Elephas maximus indicus: one gene and its partner. The protein of the gene in region 1 interacts with the protein of each later gene in a pairwise test. Links are inferred from orthologs where the notes say so. Each region holds a gene or a part of one and is shown in the gene's direction. Other genes may lie near its edges.

Region 1 (11,495 bases):
CACTAACAACCTTAGGTCTGTATACATTAGTCTGTTCTAGGCCTTTCATATAAGTTGAATCACGTAATATTTGTCCTTTTGTGACTGACACCCATCTGTATTATTAGTTCTGTAATATTTTTCTTTCAATAAGGTCATTCTTTTAAACTTAGGCAAATTTATTTGAAAAGGAAAATGTGCACCACTGACTTCAAATGGAAAACCGCTCTCATTTGCCATAAAGAAAAGGTAACTATAAAATTAAGTATAAGGAGAGCAAACCAAGATTATTAAATTTTAGCTAAATCCTGTTTCTTGCTGAAGGCTCTGAGCCAGAGCCTTGCTTTCTTTTCCTTAAAAACTGAGGTGTTAAAGACATAAACCAGTTGCTGTCGGGTTGATTCCAACTCATAGTGACCCCAAAGGACAGAGTGAAACTGCCTCATATGGTTTCCAAGGCTATAATCTTTACAGAAGCAGACTGTCTCATCTTTATTCTGTAGAGTGGCTGGTGGGTTCGAACCACCAGCCTCTTGGTTAGCAGCCAAGTGCTTAACCACTGTACCACCAGGGCTCCCTTGTTAAAGACATAATCAGAAAAACAAACAAACCTATTGCCGTTGAGTCGATTCTGACTCATAGTGACCCTATAGGACAAAGTAGAACTGTCCCATAGGGTTTCCAAGGAGCAGCTGGTAGATTCAAACTGCCAGCCTTTTTGGTTAGCAGCTGTAGTTCTTAACCATTGCACCACCAGGGCTCTGTCAGGGCTCCGTTAAAGACACAGCAGCTGTTAAATGAGACTTTCTCCCCAGGTAATTAGAGGAACAGAAAGAAAATCAAAAAAGAATGCCTATCTCCCGATATGACCCAGTGTTATTTAGTACAGAATTTTGAGACCATAAAACCATCTGGCATCCCACCAGTGCCCTACCTATGATATTTTGGAGAACACTGACCTAAACCAACTCTCTCTTCCTATTTTATGGATGAAGAAACTGAGACTCCAAGAGAGGAGATGACTTGCCCAAGATTTCAGAGAGTCAGTGGCTTTAGCCAGACCTGGAATCCAGCTGGGACACTTTTCAAGGCATAGCTTTACTTTCGTGGGGTGAATCGGTGAAGATGAAAAGCTTTAAGGACTGATAGTGGAATTTCAGGCATACAGCAGCCACTGGGGACACTGTATAGGGTCGCTATGAGTCAGAATTGATCAAAAGCAACAGATTTGGTTTTTTGGCTAGGGACAACCTGGTAGAAAGGGAGAAGACGCTAGCAAGCAGCGACCTAAGATGCATCAATTGGTCTCAACCCACCTGGATCAAAGGAGAATGAAGAACACCAAGGACACAAGGCGATTATGAGCCCAAGAGACAGAAAGGGCCACATGAACCAGAGACTACATCATCCTGAGACCAGAAGAACTAGATGATGCCTGGCTACAACCGATGACTGCCCTGACAGGGAACACAACAGAGAACCCCTGAGGGAGCAGGAGAGCAGTGGGGTGCAGACCCCAAATTCTCATAAGACCAGACTTAATGGTCTGATTGAGACTAGAAGGACCCCGGTGGTCATGGCCCCCAGACCTTCTGTTGGCCCAGGACAGGAACCATTCCCGAAGCCAACTCTTCAGACATGGATTGGACTGGACAATGGGTTGGAGAGGGATGCTGGTGAGCAGTGAGCTTCTTGGATCAGGTGGACACTTGAGACTATGTTGGCATCTCCTGCCTGGAGGGGAGATGAGAGGGTGGAGGGGGTTAGAAGCTGGCAAAATGGACACGAAAAGAGAGAGTGGAGGGAGAGAGCGGGCTGTCTCCTTAGGGGGAGAGTAATTGGGAGCGTGTAGCAAGGTGTATATGGGTTTTTGTGTGAGAGACTGACTTGATTTGTAAACTTTCACTTAAAACACAATAAAAATTATTAAAAAAAAAAAAGAAAGAAAGAAAGGAGGCAGATGTGGCTCTGATCACAGAAGTCAATAGACTCCAGGTCCTTTCCTCTCCGGTAGAGCACAGCCCCATCCCCAGTTCCTTTTCACCCCAGCATTGCGGGTCAGAGGTCAGAGGCCAGGCCTCATCAGAGCTCCAGCAAATAGAAACAGCCTATCTGCTCACACACCTGCATAGAGAGATGTTTTGGAATGAAGTAGATTCATGAAAGCTGAACTGTGTCAGGAAAGGGCACATTTTTGCATTTAATATTTGATCCCTATTTATTTTCTCACTTTTTAACAAATGTGTACATAAGGTTTATTTATAAATCATAAGGATTTATAGCGTTAATCCTCATGACAACCCAACGAGGTAGGTACTATCAATATCCCTATTTTACAGATAGGGGAACTGAGGCCTAGAGAGCTTAAGTAATTTGCCCAAAATCTCACCACTAAGAAGTGGTGGGATTTGAACCCAGAAAACGTTTAACAAGGACAGGAGGCTTCCTCAATGCATTTAATCCTTACGACTGCAATGCTAGGGAGGTATAATAAATCCCATTTGATAGATGCAGAAACTGAGGCTCAAGGCTATTTGGGCTCTAGATTGTAGACAGAGGAGTCAAATTCCTGTCTGCCCAAGCTCTTAACCTCTTTATTATACTCCCTGGATCATTTATCAGGAATCTTGGTCTAGGATTGCACTGCTCAATAGGGTATCCACAAGCCACATGTGGCTATTGAACACTTGAAATTTGGCTAGGGTGACTGAGGAACTCCTGTGACTGATTTTTTAATTTATTTTAATTGTAAAACTGAAGGAGGCGAAATATTTTTCCCAATAAACACAACTTAGTTGTTTCAGCAGGACTACGTTTCACTTTAGCCAGTGACAATTTGGTGTCCAAACTGAGCGGTACTGTGAGCGTAAAATACGTACCAGATTTCAAAGATATCAGTATGGCAAAAAATCTTAATATCTCATTAATAATTAAATTTTATGTTAATTATATGTTAAAATACCAATAAAACCAAAAAACCCAAACCCAGGGCTGTCAAGTCGATTCCGACTCATAGAGACCCTATAGGACAGAGTAGAACTGCCCCACAGTTTCCAAGGAGTGCCTGGCAGATTTGAACTGCCAACCCCTTTGGTTAGCAGCCATGGCACTTAACCACTATGCCACCATGGTTTCCAAAATAATAATATGTTCGAGATATTGGATTAAGTATAAGAAATTATTAAAATTATTTACACCTGCTTCTTTTTATTTTTTTTTAATGCAGCAACTATAAAATCTGAAATTACATAGGTGGCTCACATTACGTTTCTATTGGACAGTGCTGGACTAGAGAGTAGGGGTTCAGTAAACCCAACTACGACAAGGCCCCCAAATCTGGGGGCTATGCCCAGGGTGTAGTTCCAGTGGCCATACCCACAAGTCCAGATGGAGGCCACTGGATTGCAAAGGCTGTAAAATGTCCCAGGACAGGGTGGGGACTGGAGTCAGCTGTCCTAGGTTCAAATCTCAAATCTGCCTCATCCAACCTGGGTGGCCTTGGGTGAGCCCCTCGCCTTGGCTCCTCTATGGAAAGGAGGCGACAGTGCCCATCCTGCAGTCCTCTAACTGACTCATGTTCCTGCCTCTGGGCTTTGCACTTCCTGTTTCTTCTGTCTCCCCTGCATACCTTTGCACCCCTCACCTCTTCCTTCCTTGAGCTCTTAGTTCAAATATCATCTTCCTGATGAGGCCTACTGAAAATAGTCACCCCTCGGTCCTGGTAACAGAGGTGTGTCTAAGATATGGGATGTATGTCACGTGCCCTGGGGGCCACTTGAAGGTAGGGGTGGGGATGGGAGGGTGCCACTGAGCAGTTTCTATTAACCCGGTAGGGTCCAACGTCCTTCCTCAAGCATGGTAGAAAGAACAAATCTACCTTATTTTATTCAAGAAAATAAATACATGATGCTTAAAATCAGTTTTAAACAGTTTTCATTTTATTTTCTTGACAATGGTCTGTCTCCTCACTGAATTCTAAGATCCGCGAGGGCAGGGATGGGTCAGTCTTGTCTCCGCTGAGTTAAGACCAGCATTTAGAGCGGGGCCCACAACCCAGCAGTATTCCACAAGATAGGGATGTAAGAGCAAGCTCACTGCAGTGCTGGCTTCAGGCAGGTGCTCAGAGAACAACCATCTCCGCCATTCTTCACCTCTGACCACTGGCCCTTCCAGCCTGAACCTTGGTGTCCTGGTGTAAAAAGTGAGCTCAAACAACAAGTGTTGATGAGGACTTGGAGAAGTTGGAACGCTTATCCATTGCTGGTGGGATTGGAAAATGATATAGCTGCTGTGGAAAACAGTTTGGTGGTTCCTTCAAAAAGTTAAACAGAATTATCACATGACCCAGCAATTCCACTCCTAGGTCTGTACTCAAAAGACTTGAAAGCAGATACTTGTACAAACAGATACTCGTACACCAGTGTTCATTGCAGCATTATTCACAATCGCCAAAATGTGGAAACAACCTAAATGTCCATCAAGAAATGAATGGATGAAGAAAATATGGTATATACATACACAATGTGTATACGTACACACTTAGCCATAAAGAGAAATGAAGTCTTGATACAGGGTACAACATGGATGAACCTTGAAAACACTATGCTAAGTGAAATAAGTCAGTCACAAAAGGACAAATACTGTATGATCCCACTTACATGAAACTTCTAATATTGGCAAATGTATAGAGATCTAAGTTTATCAGTGGTTGCCAGGGGCAGAAGGGAGGGGAAGAGAGGAGTCATTGCTTACGGGGCACTGAGTTTCTTTTTAAGGGTGATGGAAACGGATAGTGGCGATGATTGCTCAACACGATGAACGTAATTAATGTCACTGAATTGTACATGTAAAAAATGTTGACACAGCAAATGTTTTCTTATATATATTTTTATCAAAATAAAGAAAAAGATGAGTTCATTCATCCCTCCCCAGTGGGGGAGTCCTCAGGGTGAAATGATATCTCAGATCCCCCTGGTGTGCCCCAAAGGCTGGGGATTCTGAGACACAGATGAGCTGGTCCCTGGGGCCAGAAATAAAGGAAAGTGACTCTGTCCCTCCTCCCATCCAGCCTCTGCCTGAGGAGTTATTTTCTGACATTTGGTGAATTCAGATATCAAGACCTAACATAGATTTCTAAGAAAGGTGTTGGACCCCTGAGGCTGCTCAGGGAGGCTCCGCTGAACAGCATATGGCACCAGGGGCTCCCAGGCCTCTGGGTTCAAGTCATTATAGGCCTCTTCCCATCTCTACGTTTCCACTGTCTCCACTTTATTTATTGAGCACCTACGATACGTCACACACTGTTTTAAGCATTTTACATGTATTAACTTATTTAATCCTCAAAACAACTCTATGAAGTGAATACTGTTATGAGCCCATGATAAAAAAAAAATTTTTTTTCTTTTTTTATGCCCCATGATAGGGAGGAGGAAACTGAAGCAGGGCTTTAAGTTGTTTTCCTGAGGTAGGACAGTAGGTCAAGGCAGAGGTGGGGTACACACTTAGGCAGGGTCCTTCTAGGTTGGAGCCCTGGCGTGCAGTTGTTCTTAACCATTAGACCACACTGCTTCTATCATGAATGCCGTAAAGCCCACCAGATTGTGAAGCTCAGGCCTCCCTAGGCACCCCACTGGTTCTTATGAGCCAGGAGTCAGCTCTTAAGTCTGTGAGTCTTTGCAAAGCTCCTGGGTTGCTGTCCCACAGCTGGACCTCAGGCTGCTCTTCCGCAGAATGGGGACAACGGGGCTTTCTGCCCAAGGTTCTCCTAAGAGTTAATAAGGCGGTAGTGGGCTGGTGCTTTATAAACAGGGAAGCACCCGTGAAACATTCAGTTTGCTCTTTTTCTTCTCAGCAACATCTTGGGAGGGAAAGACGTTCTTTCCATTTCACAGTTGGGGAAATTGGGGCTCATAACAATAAACTGATTTTTCCCAGATGATGGGGAGAGCCAGAGGCTGATGTCCGCACTCAGCTCCGGGCGCGGGGGGCCGAGTGGCGGTGGACTCGGCCCTGGTAGACGGCGAGGCCAGGGTGCCCGGCAGTGAGCTGACCTAGGAGGCGAGGCCCGGGCGGAGCGAGCCGGGGCGGTGACCCCGGGGGCGGGGCGCTCGGGATGGTGCAATCCCCCGTCTGAGGGCATCAGCGGCGCGGATTAGTTCAGGTTTACATCACCCGGGCTTGGAGACGAGCTACGCCCGGCGCCCCCGAGACATTCGCAGCTCGAGCGGCGGCAGCGGCAGCCTCGTCAGCGTCCGGCGACAGCGGGCGGGAGCTAGACCGGAGCCGGAGCTCAGCCGCAGCGGAGCGGTCCCCGGTTCACCTCGGGGACCCTGCCGACTCTGCGCTTGGACGGTGCCGGGAACCACGCGGGACACGAGACCAAGGTAACCGGCAGAGCAGGAGAGCGAACCGGCCGGGGCCGACCGGAGTGGGGAGCCCGGCGCGCACGGGGGGCCAGAGCCTCGGGGTGCTCGAGGGTGGCTACATGTTACGTACACACACGCGCACACATACACACGCAACTTTTCACAAGTCCCGCTGTCCGCGGGGCGCACCGGGCCCAGCGTCCCCACAGGTCTCGTAGGGTGCGGGGTCTCTCGCGGGGCGTAGTAGCTGTGACCCAGGGGGAAAGGAGATCCCGGGATGGAGGTGTCCTTGTGTCACCCCAGAGAGGTGTGCGGTGTTGTCTGTTTTGTGTGAGTGTGGACTGGGGAAGTTGTGAGTTTTGTGGGGGAGGTCTGCGCGGGTCATTGGAGAACTGTAGAACTCTGTAGGGTCTGCGTCTGAGTGTCTGCGGGCTGTGCGGGGGTCCGCGGGGGTCTCGGGAATCTGCGTGCCTCCTTGGATGGTGCGAGCTCTGGGGACAGGTGTTGGATGTGCAGAGGGCCCGGCCGGTGCGGAGCTGGGGTGCCCCGGGAGCTGGGTGCGGGTGCAAGGCAATGGGAACGAAGAGGCCGCACGCGGGGTGTCGGACTGGGTGAGCGGGGGTGCGGGGAGTGCCGGGCGTAGGCCGCAGTGTGCACCCGGCAGCTTGCCGCGGATTTGCAGGTTGTACTCTGCGCGCATAGGTTTTGTTCCCGCAGACGGTTTGTGGTGTACCTGCAGTCTCTGGGGCAGGGGGGACGAGGGCCCAGATCTGCCCCTTCGCCGGGCCCTAGGATCCAACCTCCTACCCTTTGCCTCACTGTCTTCCAGTCACGGGCAGCTCTTCCGTTTCCACTGGGTCTTCTGTCCCCAGATGTGCGCCGCACGCTGCTTCCGCGCCCACGGGAGGGCCCAGGGCAGGCGGGGCTTCCGATGGCCCGCCGCCCCCTCTCCTCCGGTCGGAAGCATGTGGCCTTGTCGGTGTTGATCGTGGTTGTGATAGTTCTGGGGGATGTGTGTGTGTGTGTGTGCCATGTAATGAGGTGTGCGTCCCTTTCTGCTCTGAACGTGTGTCTTCGACTGGCTTGGATGAAGTTTTTTTTTGGGGGGAGGGGTGTACACCTGTCTGCCCTGGATGCGGATGAGTGGTGGGTATGACTCCTCCTCACTTCTCCCCCTCTCCCTATGGCAGAGAAAAGCAGGAGGTAGATATAAAGGGCTGCCTCCATCCTACAGTGAAGGTTCTAGGCTTGCCGTGTGGCCTGCAGAGTCAGTCCCTTGCTCATTTAGAGACTCAGTTACCCTATCTGTCCAACGGAGCTGATACCAGGCCCCATCCCCCTCTTCACCTGGTGTGTGTGGGGCGGAGGAGGGGGGCGGTGAAGCACTTACTCAGCCAGGTCCCATCTCACTGGACTCTTAGAACAGCCCGGGGAGGTGAGGTAAGGAGTGTTATCCTAGCCTCATCCCTGAAGGGGATTTCTGGGGAGATTTCTAAGACTTTCAAGAGTAGCACTTAAGTACATTCAGCTATGAATAATAATGATAAATAATAATAGGACAATCGAACCCATCCAAATCCATTTTCAAATCCATTGCCAACAAGTCAATTCCTATGCATAGTGACCCTATAGGACAGAGTAGAACCCCCCCATAGGGTTTCCAAGGAGCGGCTGGTGGATTTGAACTGCCCGCCTTTAGGTTAGCAGCTGAGCTCTTAACCACTGCAGCACCAGGGGACCCATAGAACAACAGTAGTGACCCTCTCCGACATGCAATGGTTAAGGGCTTCTCTGCTGGGAAAGGTCAGAGGTTCAAACCCCCCCAGTTGCACTGCGGGAGAAAAGACCTGGCAATCTGCTCCTGTAAAGATTACAGTCTAGGAAACCCTGTGGAGGCAGTTCTACTCTGTCCTACAGGGTTGCGGTGAGTTGGAATCCCCTCAACTGCACACATAGCAATATGCGGCAACAGGAGTCCCTGGCTGGTGCAAATGACTCCAGTTGGAGTCCACCCAGAGGCCCCTCTGAAGAAAGTCCTGGGGACCTACTTCTGAAAAATCAGCCATTAAAAACCTCATGGAGCACAGTTCTACTCTGACACATGGGGTTGCAGGGAGTCAGAACTGACTTGACAGCAACATTTTTTTTTTTTTTTTTTTTGATCCTCCTACAGGGCCACGCTAAGCTCTACGTAATTTGAGTTTTCATTTCATCATCACAAAAATCCTGTGGGCTTTGCATCCTCTTCCCATTTTACAGTTGAGGGAACTGAGGCTCAGAAATTTGAGGAATTTGCCCAGAACTATCCAACCAGGAATGAATGGAGCCAGGATTAGAACCCAGGAATATCTGACTCCAACCCCTTCCCCCCATCACATTCTTTCCAAGAAGGGTTATGGGCTTTCACTGGGTTGGGAGTGTCCCCTCCCACCCAAGGCAGCCTATGGGAGCTGCATGATTGGAGCAGGGGGTCTCCATCTCAGGACCAACTTGCATGATGTTTCCCATTCATCCTGCCTCTGCTTGGACTGTTTGTCCTTTATCGGGGCTGAAGTCTGGCTTGATCTAATGTCTCAGACCTACGTCTCCAATGTCCTCATCTGGAGCCTAAATGGTTGGACAGATGGGTCCGGGAGAGAAGCTTCCCACCCTGACCGGCCATTACATTGTCCTCTCTCCCACTCACCGCACACAGTTCTCAACTGGGCATGTGGCACTTTACTCCACAGTGGAATGAGGGAATCTTGGGGCCTTTGAGAGACCCTCCCTGCTCAGTCCCATTTCTCTGATGTGACACTGGAGCACTCAGGTGTCTGTCTCATAGACTAACTGCATATGAACTCTGATTACAGCGGCTCTGGGCCATTGGCCTATTCATACAGCAGAGAAAAGTCACATTTGAGAAAAGAAATACGCTCTCTTTTGAAATACCCAACAATCAACGAAAGCAGAATCTTTATTTTAAAATTTTGAAATAGAAAAATTTCCTTGCTTCCATTGCAAATCCCTTCCTCTCCAGAAGCTTCTGTGGCCAATTTACTCTGGGTCCTTCCAGACCTTTTCCTGCACACTCACACACCTACTTATGTACAGATATGGAGATGCATTGTTCTATGTGCTGTTGAGTTTTTTCACAAATGGAATCACTTCAAGTGTATTGTCAGGCAACTTGCTTTGTTCATTCACTTGACAATGTACACCCATTCTCTACATCCATTCATACAAACGTCTAGTACATATTCCATTCATTCACCCTCATCCTTCCTTCCTTCCTCCCCCCTGCTTTCAACAGATGATAAATGTCTATACAACCAGACTCAATGGACACAGTGCTGAGTCTCTCTCCCTCTCACCCCACCACCAAGCTCATCTTTCTGTTTGACTTTTTGTTTTTCTTTTCCCCTTAACTGTTCACCCTGGAGGTCTTTCTAATTAGCACGTAAAGAGCTCCCTCAGTCTTTTCAATGGCTGCATAACCTTCCATTGTATGGGTGAAGTATAACTCACTTAACCGGTCCCCTAAAGGTGGACTTCCGGTTTGCCATTCTTTTTCTATATTGTACAGGGTGTCAGGAAATAACCTTGTACTCGCACCATTTTGAGGTTCCTCAGCTATTAACTGAAAGGTTGGCGGTTGGAACCCACTGATCAATGCTTTGAAAGGCCTGGAGATCTGCTTCTGCAAAGACTACAGCCAAGAAAACCGAATGGAGTTGTTCTGCTGTATCACATGGGGTTGCCATGAGTCGGCACTGACTTGACAGCAATGGGTGCATTATTACACACACACATCTAAAGGGTAAATTCCTGGCGATGGGATTAATTACTGAATCAAAGCGTGTGTGCATTTTTTATTTTGATATTATCAAAATGTATGCCATTGAGGTTGCACCATTTTCCCGCCACCAGAATGTCCTTGTTGTTAGTGGCTGCCATGGTGCACACCCTCCTTCACAACGTCTCCAGTATGCTACTCTTTCTGCTTAGATGCAACGTGTCTAAAATGAAACTCAACTACCTTCCTCCAGAGTTCCAAAAGTAAGGGTTTCTCCCCTAGCTCAGGAAATAAAGCTACCACGCCTTTTCCTTACTTCAGGAACCTAATACTGGACCTCACTGACTCCACCCTCTCTCTCACCCCCACGTCCAGTCCACTACGGAGCCTCTGGATCCTCCTCCTCTGAGCCTTTGAAACTATGGCTGTGCTCTGGTGCCAATGGTTAAGAGCCTGGCTGTTAACCAAAAGGTCAACAGTTTGAATCCACCAGCCACTCCTTGGAAAGCCTATGGGGCAGTTCTAGTCTGTCCTATAGGGTCGCTACGACTTGGAATCGACTTGACAGCAACGGGCTTGGTTTTTATTTTTTTGGTAATCTTTACAGAAGCAGACTGCCATGTCTTTATCTCATGGAGCGGCTGGTGCGTTTGAATAATCACCTTTCAGTTAGCAGGCGAGTGCTTAACCACTTCGTCACCAGGGCTCCTTCAGCTGTACTATAGAAACAAGCAGTTTAGCAGCAGATGAGATGAAATAGAAGTTTATTTCTCTCCTGTGTAAAAACTCTGGAGGCAGGCAGCCCAGGGCTGGTCTGTGCTCCCAGTGTCAGAGTCAGGCTCTACTCTTGTTGCTCCACTGTATATGTAGTACTTCCTGGTCCAAAATGGATGCTGGGGCTCCAGCAATCGGGTCCACATTCCAGCCAACAGGAAGGAGGAAATGAGGGTAGGCCCTCTCTTTAAGGACATCACCTTGTGAGTTGGACGCAATACTTCCATTAATATCCTATTAGCCACATCAATACATCAATACCTAGCTGCAAGGGAGACAGAAATGTAGTCTTTATTCCGAGTGGCCTCGTGCTCATCTAAAAACTTCAGGTCCTAATCTTTTGTGAGAAGGGGGGACCAGAGACTGAGGGACAACCAGCCATCTCTGCCATGTGGCGCTTGTAGAGCCCTTCAGAATAGGACCCTGCTCATCTCACCAGCCTTATTTCTTGAACTTTTCACACTTTGCTGCAGCCACACCCATTCCCAACTGCAGCTTGTACTTTTGCCCTTCCCCTCTCCCTGACAACAACAACAAAACAGTTGTTGACTCACGGTGACCCTATGTGTGTCAGACTAGCAGTGTGCTCCATAGGTTTTTTT
Region 2 (10,735 bases), on another chromosome or scaffold:
AAGGCCTGGTCATCTGCATCTGAAAGGTCACAGCCTTGAAAACCCTATGACTTGGCTCTACTCTGCACACGTGGGGTGGCCTTGAGTCCAGTCACCTTGAGGGCACCTGGTTGATTAGGCGAGCAGGGAGGGGTCTGGCTCAGACTCTCCAGAAAGAGGAACACTTGGTTCCTTTTGTTCTCTGTTATGGACAAAGAGGACTACAGATGTGGTGGCTGGTGTTTTGTCTGGGGAACCACTGGACATAAAAGGTCACAGAAGCCTCAGTCCTATGGTTTGTTGGGGACTTTTCCAGTCTTTCTGGATTACTTGCCAACATTTAAAACAAGGACCTCAGAAAAGGCTGGAGCTCTACTTCCCCTGTGAAACCAGCGGCTCTGACCCTCCAGCTATCCTTGTAGTGGCAGTGCCTCCTGGCAGCGTGCCATCCAGTCTAGCAGGCTCACCTCATAGGCACTTTCCACGTACTCACTCTTCTGAAGGAGCCCTGGTTGCGCAATGGTTAAGGGCTCCGTTGCTAACCAAAAGGTCAGCGGTTCAAACCCACCCGCTTTTCTGCTGGAGAAATACGTGGCAGGCTGCTTCCATAAAGATGACAGCCTTGGAAACCCTATGGGGCAGTTCTACTCTGTCCTACAGGGTCACTATGAGTTGGAATCGACTCAATGGCACACAACACTTCTGAAACTCACAACTTGGAGACATGGTGGCTGAGGCAACGAAGGGTGCAGCATCTTGTCTGAAACCACATCTGGGACACTCTGTTGCTAACTGTCAGCTTGCACTATCCTTCTCCTACCTAGAACCAGTTCCTGTGGGTGTGGGTGGAGAGGACCCCCAGGGCTGGCCCAATCCTTTACTCCCAGACAAGGAAACCGAGGCTCTGAAAGGGGAGGTGTGGGAGGCTGGATGATAGCCCCTAAGGAGGCCCATGTCTATGACTATTTTACCTACATGGCAAAAAGCACTTCGCAGATGTGATGAAGGACCTTGTGATGGGGAGGGCATCCTGGATTATCCTGGGGGGCCCTGAATTAGTAATGACTAATGACAAGGGTCCTTTTAAGGCGGGGGGGCAGAATGTCAAAGGAGGAAATAGAAGACATGACAACTGAAGCAAGACGTTGGGGTGATGCAAGGAAGAGGTCAAGAGCCAACGAAAGCAGGTGGCCTCCAGAAGCTGCAAAAGGCAAGGAAACGGATCCCCTGCCCCCCTCAGAACCTCCAGAAGGAACACAGTGCTGGGGACCCATTTTAGACACCTGACCTCCAGAACTGTACAAGAGTAAATGTGGGTTGTTTAAGCCACGAGGTTGGTGGCAATTTGTTACCATGGCAAGAGGAAACTCATTCAGAAGGTGACCACAGGGGCTGTCAGAGCTGGTACAGTACAGCGTGGGGCCTAACAGGCTGAGCTGCAACTGCTTCAGCGCTGGGGATCCAGGGACGAGGCAGGAGCAGCAAGGGGAGGGAAGGGGCTGTGAGGACTCTGTGCTCTGACACGTGGCAGGCTCGTGTCCAGGGCTGCCCTTTCCCCAGCCAAGCTGGCCTTGGCCTTTTTGCCTTGTTTGCCCAATGCCCACCTCCAACCCTGCCTCCTGGCCTGTGTGACCCTGACACTGGACCTGGCGCCTCTCAGAGACCACAGTATTGGATTTCCCAGCCTCTGTCCATGAGGAATTCACGTAGAAATGCATGGGTGTGCACATGGGACTGGGGGAACAATTTAGTGCTCGGGGACACACTTATGTCCAAAGACATCTGTCTCCAAGGTTGTGAGGAGAATAGAACCACATGTGGAAGGTACAGGGGAGGGCAATAAACATGTACAGTTTTTGAGCTCCTATTAAGCACCTCCCAGCTTTACCAACATCATTTCCCAGAATCTTCCCAGCGCCCCAGCCTTAGAAATAACGAATGCTCACAGGGCACCTCCCACCTGCTAGGCCCTATTCTAGAAAGTTAACATGCGTTAGCCCATTTAATCCTCACAATGACACTATGAGGTGGGTCCTCTCATCCCCATTTTCCCCATTTTATGGGTTGAGGAAACTGAGTCACAGAGAGACGATGTCACTTGCTGAGGGTCATGGAACCAGAGTGGTGCAGTTGGGATCTGAACCTGGCAGGCTCTGACCTGTACTGTAGAAGCAGCTGAGGCTCAAGCAGATTAAGGACCTTCCCGAATCTGTGGCTAGGAGTAAGCGGTGTGGCCGCAGGATCAGAACCTGCGTCGCCTGATGCAAACCTTGGGGGCCTTTTCCGTCACACCAGCTGTACCCTGACTGGGAAGTGGGTGAGGAGGGCCTCCTCGAGGGCAGCGGGAATGGCTGGACTCGACAGAATTTGCAAACCGTGAATATGAGCAAACCTGAGGTGAGGGTCTGAGTGGTGACCCCCAGCAGGCTCTGCCCTGGAGTGTGGGTTGGGGACCCCCATAGAACTGAGAGACCAGGGTGTGTGAGGCCTGGAAGTGGTGCTGCGGAAGCTGGGGCTCTAGCTAGCAGTGTAATTCTAAGCAAATCTTTTGCTTCTTTGGGCCCGTCCTGCCCCTGCCAGGGCAGCTGGTTGGCTTCAGGGACCTACAGCCACTCCTTGGCATTGAGTCTTGATTCTCAGGGTCCTGCACTGGTGTCCAATTTCCCTCCCTTGCTCCTGTCCACCCCAGCTGTGCTGGAGCCTCTCCCTGATCCAGGGCTCCACTCACCAGGAGCTGTTGCCAGGTGCACCAGGGCCCCCAGAGAATCCCCTCCCCATTAAAGAGCCAGGGATGATGCAACCTGCCTGCAACAGCCGCCTCACTCCCTGAGCCTGGCCCCTCCGCACCGAAAAAGAGTCCCCAGCAACCCTACTGTGCTCCTAGCCCTGAGCTCAGGGCCTGAAGGGGCTGGGGGCCTGGCCCTGAAGGCCTCTTTGAGGCTGGGGGAGGTGGGGATATCTGAGTCCTGGAGGGGCCAGGGGCCCAGGTCTAGGGTGGGCCCAGGAAAAGGTTCAGGGTGCCAGGGGCCCAGTCTAACTACAAGACAAACCCAAACTGAGGGCTCAGGGTATGGAGTTGTAGGCAGCCACAGATGACCCGCAGTGTGTAAACTAAAACATGCCAGAAGGGTTGGGAGCTAAGCGTGTGAATTGGCACCCACTCGGCACTAGGGCTGAATCGGGCGGAATCCAACAACTCTACCAGACAAGGACATAAGGCCCAGAGAGAGAAAACGGCATGGGAGGCTGGGATGTCGGCCACCATGGTCCCTGCCCCAATTCCTTCCCAGTCAGCAGGTGCCCCACAAACTAGTAACAGGATTCCCATTACCAGTTATTTAAAAAATACCCTACCTGGGGGCCCTCTCAAAAACCCATGTTGTTGTGTGCCACAGAATTGATTCTGACTCATAGCAACCCTACAGGACAGAGTAGAACTGTCCCATAGGGTTTCCTAGGCTGTAATCTTTACAGGAGTAGATTGCTGGGTCTTTCCTCCAACAGAATGGCTGGTGGGTTGGAACTGCCAATCTTTTCGTTAGCAGCTGAGCACTCAACCATTGTGCTACCAGGGGTCTTTCAAAAATCCATAGTCCCAGTCTAACCACAAGACAAACCCAAAGTGAAGTGCATTCCAGAAAACAGCCAACCAGCCCTCTTCAAATCTGACCAGATCATCAAAGCCAAGGAATGTCTGAGCAGTGGCTACAGCCCAGAGGCAGCCACGTGTGATGTGGTGCCTTGGAGGGGATCCTGGGACAGAACAAGGCCATGCAGGGACAAGGAATGAAATCAGGTAAGTGTGGCGTTTAGTTTGTTGTAATGTGTCAATGCTGGTTCCAGCACTGTGACAACTGTACCTTCCTCTTGTAAGTTGTTAACAGCGGGGAAAACTGAATGTAGGGTACACAGAAACGCTACACTTTCTCTGTAACTTTTCGGTAAATCTAAACTTTTACTAAAATAGTTTATTTACCTAGTTTCCATATATATAACCCAGAGGGCCTTCTCAGAAGAAGACTGTAGGTGGGGGATAGAGTGAGAAAATAGACCTCAACAGGGAAGGTGCCAAAGGGCTGGGCCAGGGCTCAATCTTGCCAGCAGCAGGTTTTCAGCTGGAGTTGGGGCTTCCCTTTTCTGGTAGTCTGGACAGGGCCTCCCCAGGCTAACAGCCTGCCCGACAGTCAACCCTAATCCCTGCCACCTGCTACTGTTCAAATATCTACACTGAGACATGGAGGGGAGTCCATCCTTAAGCCTCACACCAAAGCTCTAAGGCCATTATGGTCTGAAAGGATCCACTGCTGGCAATGGAAACAGAACATATGCATCTCAGTATTAACAGCAAGAACAGTAATAGTAACAACCCTGAGCAGCAGCCACTATGTGCCAAGCACTACTATAAAGGACAGGCAGAGATTAATTCATTTAATCCTCATTGCCCTAAGAGGCACATGCTATTATTGGCCACGTTCCACCGCAAGGGAAGTCAAGGCATGGGGAAATTAGGGCCACACGGCTAGTCTGGGTTTGAACCCAGACAATCTGGCTCCAGGGTCTGAGCTCTTAAAGTGCTGCCCTATACTGCCTAAGTAATAGCGTAGCCCCTATGAATCCCAGGAACTACAGGGCTAGTGCTCAAATCTGGCTCTAACGGAAGGTGGTCAGATCTCAAGATAGGCTAGCCCAGCTAGCCTCAAAACCCACCTTCCCCGGGTTTTGATTGTTTTGTAGCTGCCCCAAAAGGGATGAGACTGAACTCCATGTGGATGAACGACGAGTGGAAAAGAGAGGGACCTTCTGCAGCACAGCAAAGAGCCATCTCCACCTGGGCCAGCTGGGGGTGATGCGCCCTCTCTTTTAATGAACGGAAGGGTAAAAACCAAAGGAAACCCGATGTCGTCAAGTGGATTCGGACTTATAGTGACCCCGGCTGGAAGACAGTTCCCTGATGCTGAGTGGCAGCTGAGACAAAAAACTGTAAAACCATCGGGAGAAGGGCAGGGGCAGGAGAAAGAACTAGCTGACGAGGGCTGAAGAAGGTGGGCAGGGGCTGTTGAAAAGAGAAAAAGCTGGAGAGGGGGCCATGAGGCCTGAATCCCTCCACCTGGAAGTGGCTGAGCATCTACCACTTGGGAAGGGGAGGGAGGGGATGGCTGGAAATGAACACCAGGGAGGACTGAGACACACAAAAATGACCTCTTAACAGGTGTTGGGTGGTCCAGTGCCTGGGGTTCTGCCAGAAGGGGTGAGACTGGGCACCAGAGTTCCTTTTAATAACAAGGCACCGTTTACCAGGCAAGTATGAGCCCGGTTCTGTGCTTAGGGTTTCGAAGACATCACCTTATTTAACTCTGACAAACAACCCTACCACATGGACACATGAGGCACTGAAAACTTCAGTTATTTGCCCAAGGCCACCCTGGCCGCTCTGTGACTTGAACGAAGGCCATCTGACTCTGACTCAAGCAAGATCTCAAACCTACAAGGCTTTTCAGGCCCGGGCAGCAGCTGAGGGATGAATGGACGGAGAGATTTGGGTGTGGTTGGCAGGAAATTCTTTCATGAAGGGGGGAAGGGAACAGAGAAATGACCACGTGCGAGTCTGAGGGAGGAGAGGCCGGGGTCGGGCTCCAGAGTCAGACAGGAGAGGGCCCGATCCCCAGAAACACGAGCGAGTCTGATCACCAGATCACAGAGAGGAGGAGACTAGACCCCCGGTTCTGAGGGAGGGAGGGGTCTTACCCCCGGGTCAGAAGCAGGAGGGCGCCGGACGCCCGGGTGAGAGGGAGGAGGGGATCCGATCCTCAGATGAGATGGAAGAGGGGGTCCGAACCCCGGGTGAAAGGGAGGAGGGCTCCGGGCCCGCCTCCCGGTTAGGGCCGCACAGGGGCGGAGCGCGGAAGGATCCGGACGGACTGTGCTGCGCCACCTGCGGTATATCTGTCCCCAGTCCCCGGGGCCGCCTCATTCCCCGTCCTCAGATCACGGTTTCCTCACACTAGCGCGACGCCGCCACCGCCCGCGTAGCCCTGGCCATGGCCCTGTAGCCGCGACCCCTCCGTGCCCCCCGGCCCGTCTCCGCGCTCACCGCACCTGCGCTATCCGCTCTTGCCTTCTTTCTTCAGCCGAGGCCTCCGCTGCCTCCCCTTTCTGCCGCCATGGAGTGAGTAACCGCTCGCCCCTCCCTCTCCAACCGCCTTTCCCGCCCTTTCGCTGCGCGCGGCCCTCAAGGCCTGACCGGGGGTTGGGTAGGGAGAAGTGATTGGGGAATCTTGGTTGCGCAGGCGCAGAAGCGGGGGGGCGCCTGTCGGCGCCCATCGGAGCATGCGCACTCGGTCCGAGGTGGGGGGGCAGGGTTCTTCCTGATTGTTTACGCTAAGGGAACGCGTGCGGTTACTGCCGCGCACTAGCTCCCACAGAGTTCCCTCCCCCTCCCCCGGAAACGAGTCTAGCCGTACGCTGTTGGTCATGCGCACCAGCCCACCAGAGCCCGTAATTGTGCGGAAAGGTCGGGGCGTACGCCGCCGCATATGCGCACTGACCCCCAAGAGGGCGGGGAGGGGGGGAATGCATGAGAACACAATTTACACCACCTGGATGACAGATCATGCGCTTTAGCCCTCGGGGAGACGGCGACTTGTGGAAGGGTGGGGGTGGAAGACATTTTCCACAACCTTTCCCCCGCCCTCCTTTCTCCACACTGCGGTGGCGCACAGCGTAGCTTCACTCGCTTTCAGCAGGCATCTGCTGGGGCGGGGCCTAGTTTAGATTGACAGGGAAGAAGGCGGGGCTTAGGGCGAGGAACACAGGTTTCGTGAGGGGCGGGCCAACACGTTGTGGGAAAGGGCGGGGCCAGGCGAGGAGGGGTTTCGTCTGGAGAAAGGCGGGGCCTATAGGGACTCAGGAGGAGTGGAGCTTGGAGGGCACGGGGGCAGGCGGGGAGTGGGGGTTCACTACTAAATTTAAGCGAAGAGTGGAGTCTAAGCACATAGCATTGATGAAGGAACAAAACATGGGGGAATTCCCCTGGGAACTGATTTGAGATGGAATCTAGGGATGGGGCGGAGCCTAAAGGAAACATTTTTGGGGAAGGGGCGTGGCTAGAAGAAAATTCCCCTGGGATTCAGGTTTTTTAATGAAGAAGAGTGTCAAGGGGTGGATGGGAGAGGCCTAAGGAGAATTCCCTTGGGAGTGTGGGGGGCTCAGGGTTTAGAATTCCGAGAGGGGGGAACCTGTTAGCAATGGGGGTATGGCTTCCCGGTGCCTTTGGCTGGTGGCGGTCTGGCTGCTGACTCTGCTCCCTTTGTCTCCAACGTGTAGGTCCTCCGGTTTCGCCTTGGTGCCTGCCTTAGTCCATCTGAGCAACCTCCCAGCTGTTGGTGCTGCCTCCTTCGTTGCCATCCGTGCCCAGCGCCTCTTTTGCAGCCATGTCACTCCTGGCGACCCTGGGGCTGGAGCTGGACAGGACCCTGCTCCCAGCTAGCGGGCTGGGCTGGCTCGTAGACTATGGGAAACTCCCCCTGGCCCCTGCCCCCCTGGGCCCCTATGAGGTCCTTGGGGGAGCCCTGGAGGGCGGGCTTCCAGGGGGGGGAGAGCCCCTGGCAGGTAAGGGCAGGTGGAGAATGGAGGTGGATGAGCTGGGGGGAAGTGGGGGAGAGGGAGAAGGAAGAATTAATTTATTCATTGATTCTGTAAATACAATGCGTCAGGCACTGTTTTAGCTGCTGAGGATAGAGCCAGGAACAAGACTGACATGATTCCTGCCTTCCCAGAACTCACATTCTTGTGGGGAGACAGACAACAGTCAAGTAAAACGAAGATGTATTGGGACTAAGTAGGAAGCACTTAGTGACTGAGCTAGAAAATATCAAAGGGGACCTAGTTTTAGAGTGGGTAGCCAGGATACCTTGTCCAAGAAGGTAACATTAAGCTGTGGCCTGAAGAATGGGAAGGAACGAGCTATCAAAAGGCCCAAGGGAAGAGCATTTCAGGTGAAGGAACAGCATATGCAGAGACCCTGAGACAGGAATTGTTTTAGTCATTACTATATCCCAAATGCTTGACACATTGTAGGTTTTCAGTAATTAATGAATTAAAGTTGAAGCACGGTGTGTGTGTATGTGTGTGTGATGTCATCTAGTTGGTGTTTTAAGGACAAACTAGAGAGTAGATTAGAGGAACCGTAGAAAAAAGTAAAGAGGATGTTGGATTGGTTGAAGAAAAGGTTGGTTGATGGATGGTTGGGTGACTGGTTGGCAGATTGGTTCTTTTGTTGGCTGACTGGTTTTTTGGCTGTTTGACTGGTTGATTGATTAGTTGGCTGACTGACTGATTCATTGGTTGGTTGACTGGTTTGTGGGATGGTTGTCTGGCTGGTCTACAGGTGGTTTGGTTGACTGGTTGACTGCTTCACTGATTGGTTGATGGCTTGGTTTACTGGCTCATTGATTGATTTACTGGTTGGTTGGTTGATTGGTCAAATTGTTGGCTGATTGTTCATTGGTTGCTTGACTGACTTGTTGGCTTGTTGACTGGTTTGATGATTTGTTGATTGGTTGGTTGTTTTACTGAATGAATGGGATGAATGAGTACCCAATTGGATGGAGGACCAGGAACTCAGATGGAACTTTATGTCCCTTCTCCAATTCCCTAGGAGACGGCTTCTCTGACTGGATGACTGAGCGGGTTGACTTCACAGCCCTCCTTCCTCTGGAGCCTCCCTTTCCCCCTGGTGCCCTTCCCCCACCTTCCCCGCCCCCACCTGATCTGGAAGCCATGGCCTCCCTCCTCAAGAAGGAGCTGGAGCAGATGGAAGACTTCTTTCTTGATGCCCCACTCCTCCCACCACCCTCCCCTCCTCCGCCACCCCCACAAGTTCCTCCTCTCCCCCTCCCCACCTTAGACCTCCCCCAGCCCCCTGCCCTGGATACCCTCGACTTGCTGGCCATCTACTGCCGCAGCGAGACTGGGCAGGGGGATGCTGTGGGGTTGGCACCCCTGCCCCCACCACAGCAGCCCCATCCTCCCCCACCTCAGCCCTCTCGCCCAGCCCCGTACCCCAACCCTGCCACCACCCGAGGGGACCGCAAGCAGAAGAAGAGAGACCAAAACAAGTCAGCAGCTCTGAGGTACCGCCAGAGGAAGCGGGCAGAGGGCGAGGCCCTGGAGGGCGAGTGCCAGGGGCTGGAGGCTCGGAACCGGGAGCTGAGGGAAAGGGCTGAGTCGGTGGAGCGGGAGATCCAGTACGTCAAGGATCTGCTCATCGAAGTGTATAAGGCTCGAAGCCAGAGGACACGCAACAGCTAGATGGGCAGGGGCTTTGGCCTGTAGGGGGCACTGGTATTCAGCTCTGGGTCACTTCCGTTTCTGTGGCTGAGGTGGGACCCCTTCATCATCCCTCTACCTCCAGCTTCATTCTACACCCTTCCCTCCTTTATTTTTATCCTTGTCTCCTTTCTAGCCCATTTCTGAATTTGGTCCCCTACTCCATCCTCAGAACTTTGGAACGTTTGGCCTTAGTTAACATCTCCATCCCTCAAGTATCAGCTGAGGAACTGAGAGCTACAGGGAATTCAGGGAGCAGATCAGCGCTTGGAAATAGGGCCTCTTGAGTCCCAAATCAGTGCTTTCTTGCAAGTTGTTCTCGGTGCGGGGTGGAGTGGTCCTGGCTGGAACCTAGAGGTGGGGCCAGGAAGCTATGCAGAATTACTATGCCAATGAGAACAGGGACTCTGGATAGGTAAGTCAGGGAGCGCTTCAAGAAAAAGCAAAAAAACCAAGCCAAGTGACCTTGGGGAGAACTACTTTTGGGGAGAGAGTCCAGAGGTGGCCAAGTTCACAGAGCAGGTGAATATACAGGCAGTGGGGAGGAAGGGGCAGGGTGGGGAATGGCCATAGTTGGTGACTGGGTGTTCAATTTTAGCTCTGGGAGGAAATCAGTGTTTTGTGAAGGTGTTGGGGGATGGGGCTGCATCTAGGTGAGGGAGGGCGGGGAGTGATCCTTTGGGGGTTTGTGAACAAAAATAAAATGACTTTCCTCTTGGTCTCCATGTCTTATCTTTGAGAGGGGAAGTTGGGGAGTAGCTGTATCCACAGCTGATACAATGAACCTCTTTTTAGATTCAGCTAATTTATTAATTAGATAGAAAGTGAAAGAAAGAACAGCCAAAGGTGCCAGCTTCCCTCAGTCCTTGTCTCATACAACAAAAAGGATGACTCCAAAACAAAAGGGGCTGATGGCTGCAATGTGAGTTGTGGGATGCTCTCTTGCTGAGGAGCCAGTTTTCTTATGCAGACCTCTTGGGAGAAATAGGTAAGTTGGAGATGGGCTTGCAGCCCCTCCTTAAAAGCCTCCCATTCTCTTGTCATCAAGAAGACCTAACTGTCATGTAGAGCTCTAGCTGCAAGAGAGTCTGGACAACACACGTGGTTAGCTTTCTAAGCCTTCTTAATATATGGAGTGTGTAATGGAAATTGAGAGAACCAACCAAATAACCAATCAAACTGTCAACCAACCAATCAACCTGTCAACAAATCAGTCAGTGAAGCAGTCAACCAATCAATCAGTAAGTAAACTAGCCAATGAATGAAGCAGTCAGTCAACTAATCGATGAGCTAGTCAACCAAACAACCAACAAACCAGCCAACCAACGAAAGAACGAGTCAACCAACTTGTCAACAAAGGTGCAGTCAATACCATATTTTGCTAATGCATCCATATATTTGCAATAAAAATAAAAAACTATACATATGG

The links.
Region 2: the proteins of TRIB3 (region 1) and ATF5 interact in a two-hybrid assay, tested with the Homo sapiens proteins (2 studies listed by BioGRID and IntAct). The link is inferred for Elephas maximus indicus from reciprocal best matches to the Homo sapiens genes TRIB3 and ATF5.

Annotation. Positions count from the first base shown.
Region 1 is NC_064843.1:38,421,212-38,432,706, forward strand, and holds the start of TRIB3 (tribbles homolog 3), read left to right. Parts: upstream 1-6,260; 5' UTR 6,261-6,362; intron 6,363-11,495. UniProt on the Homo sapiens protein: Inactive protein kinase which acts as a regulator of the integrated stress response (ISR), a process for adaptation to various stress. Inhibits the transcriptional activity of DDIT3/CHOP and is involved in DDIT3/CHOP-dependent cell death during ER stress.
Region 2 is NC_064829.1:100,368,154-100,378,888, forward strand, and holds ATF5 (cyclic AMP-dependent transcription factor ATF-5), read left to right. Parts: upstream 1-6,055; 5' UTR 6,056-6,145; exon of another isoform or gene 6,146-6,164; intron 6,165-7,302; 5' UTR 7,303-7,409; coding exon 7,410-7,587; intron 7,588-8,635; coding exon 8,636-9,288; 3' UTR 9,289-9,926; downstream 9,927-10,735.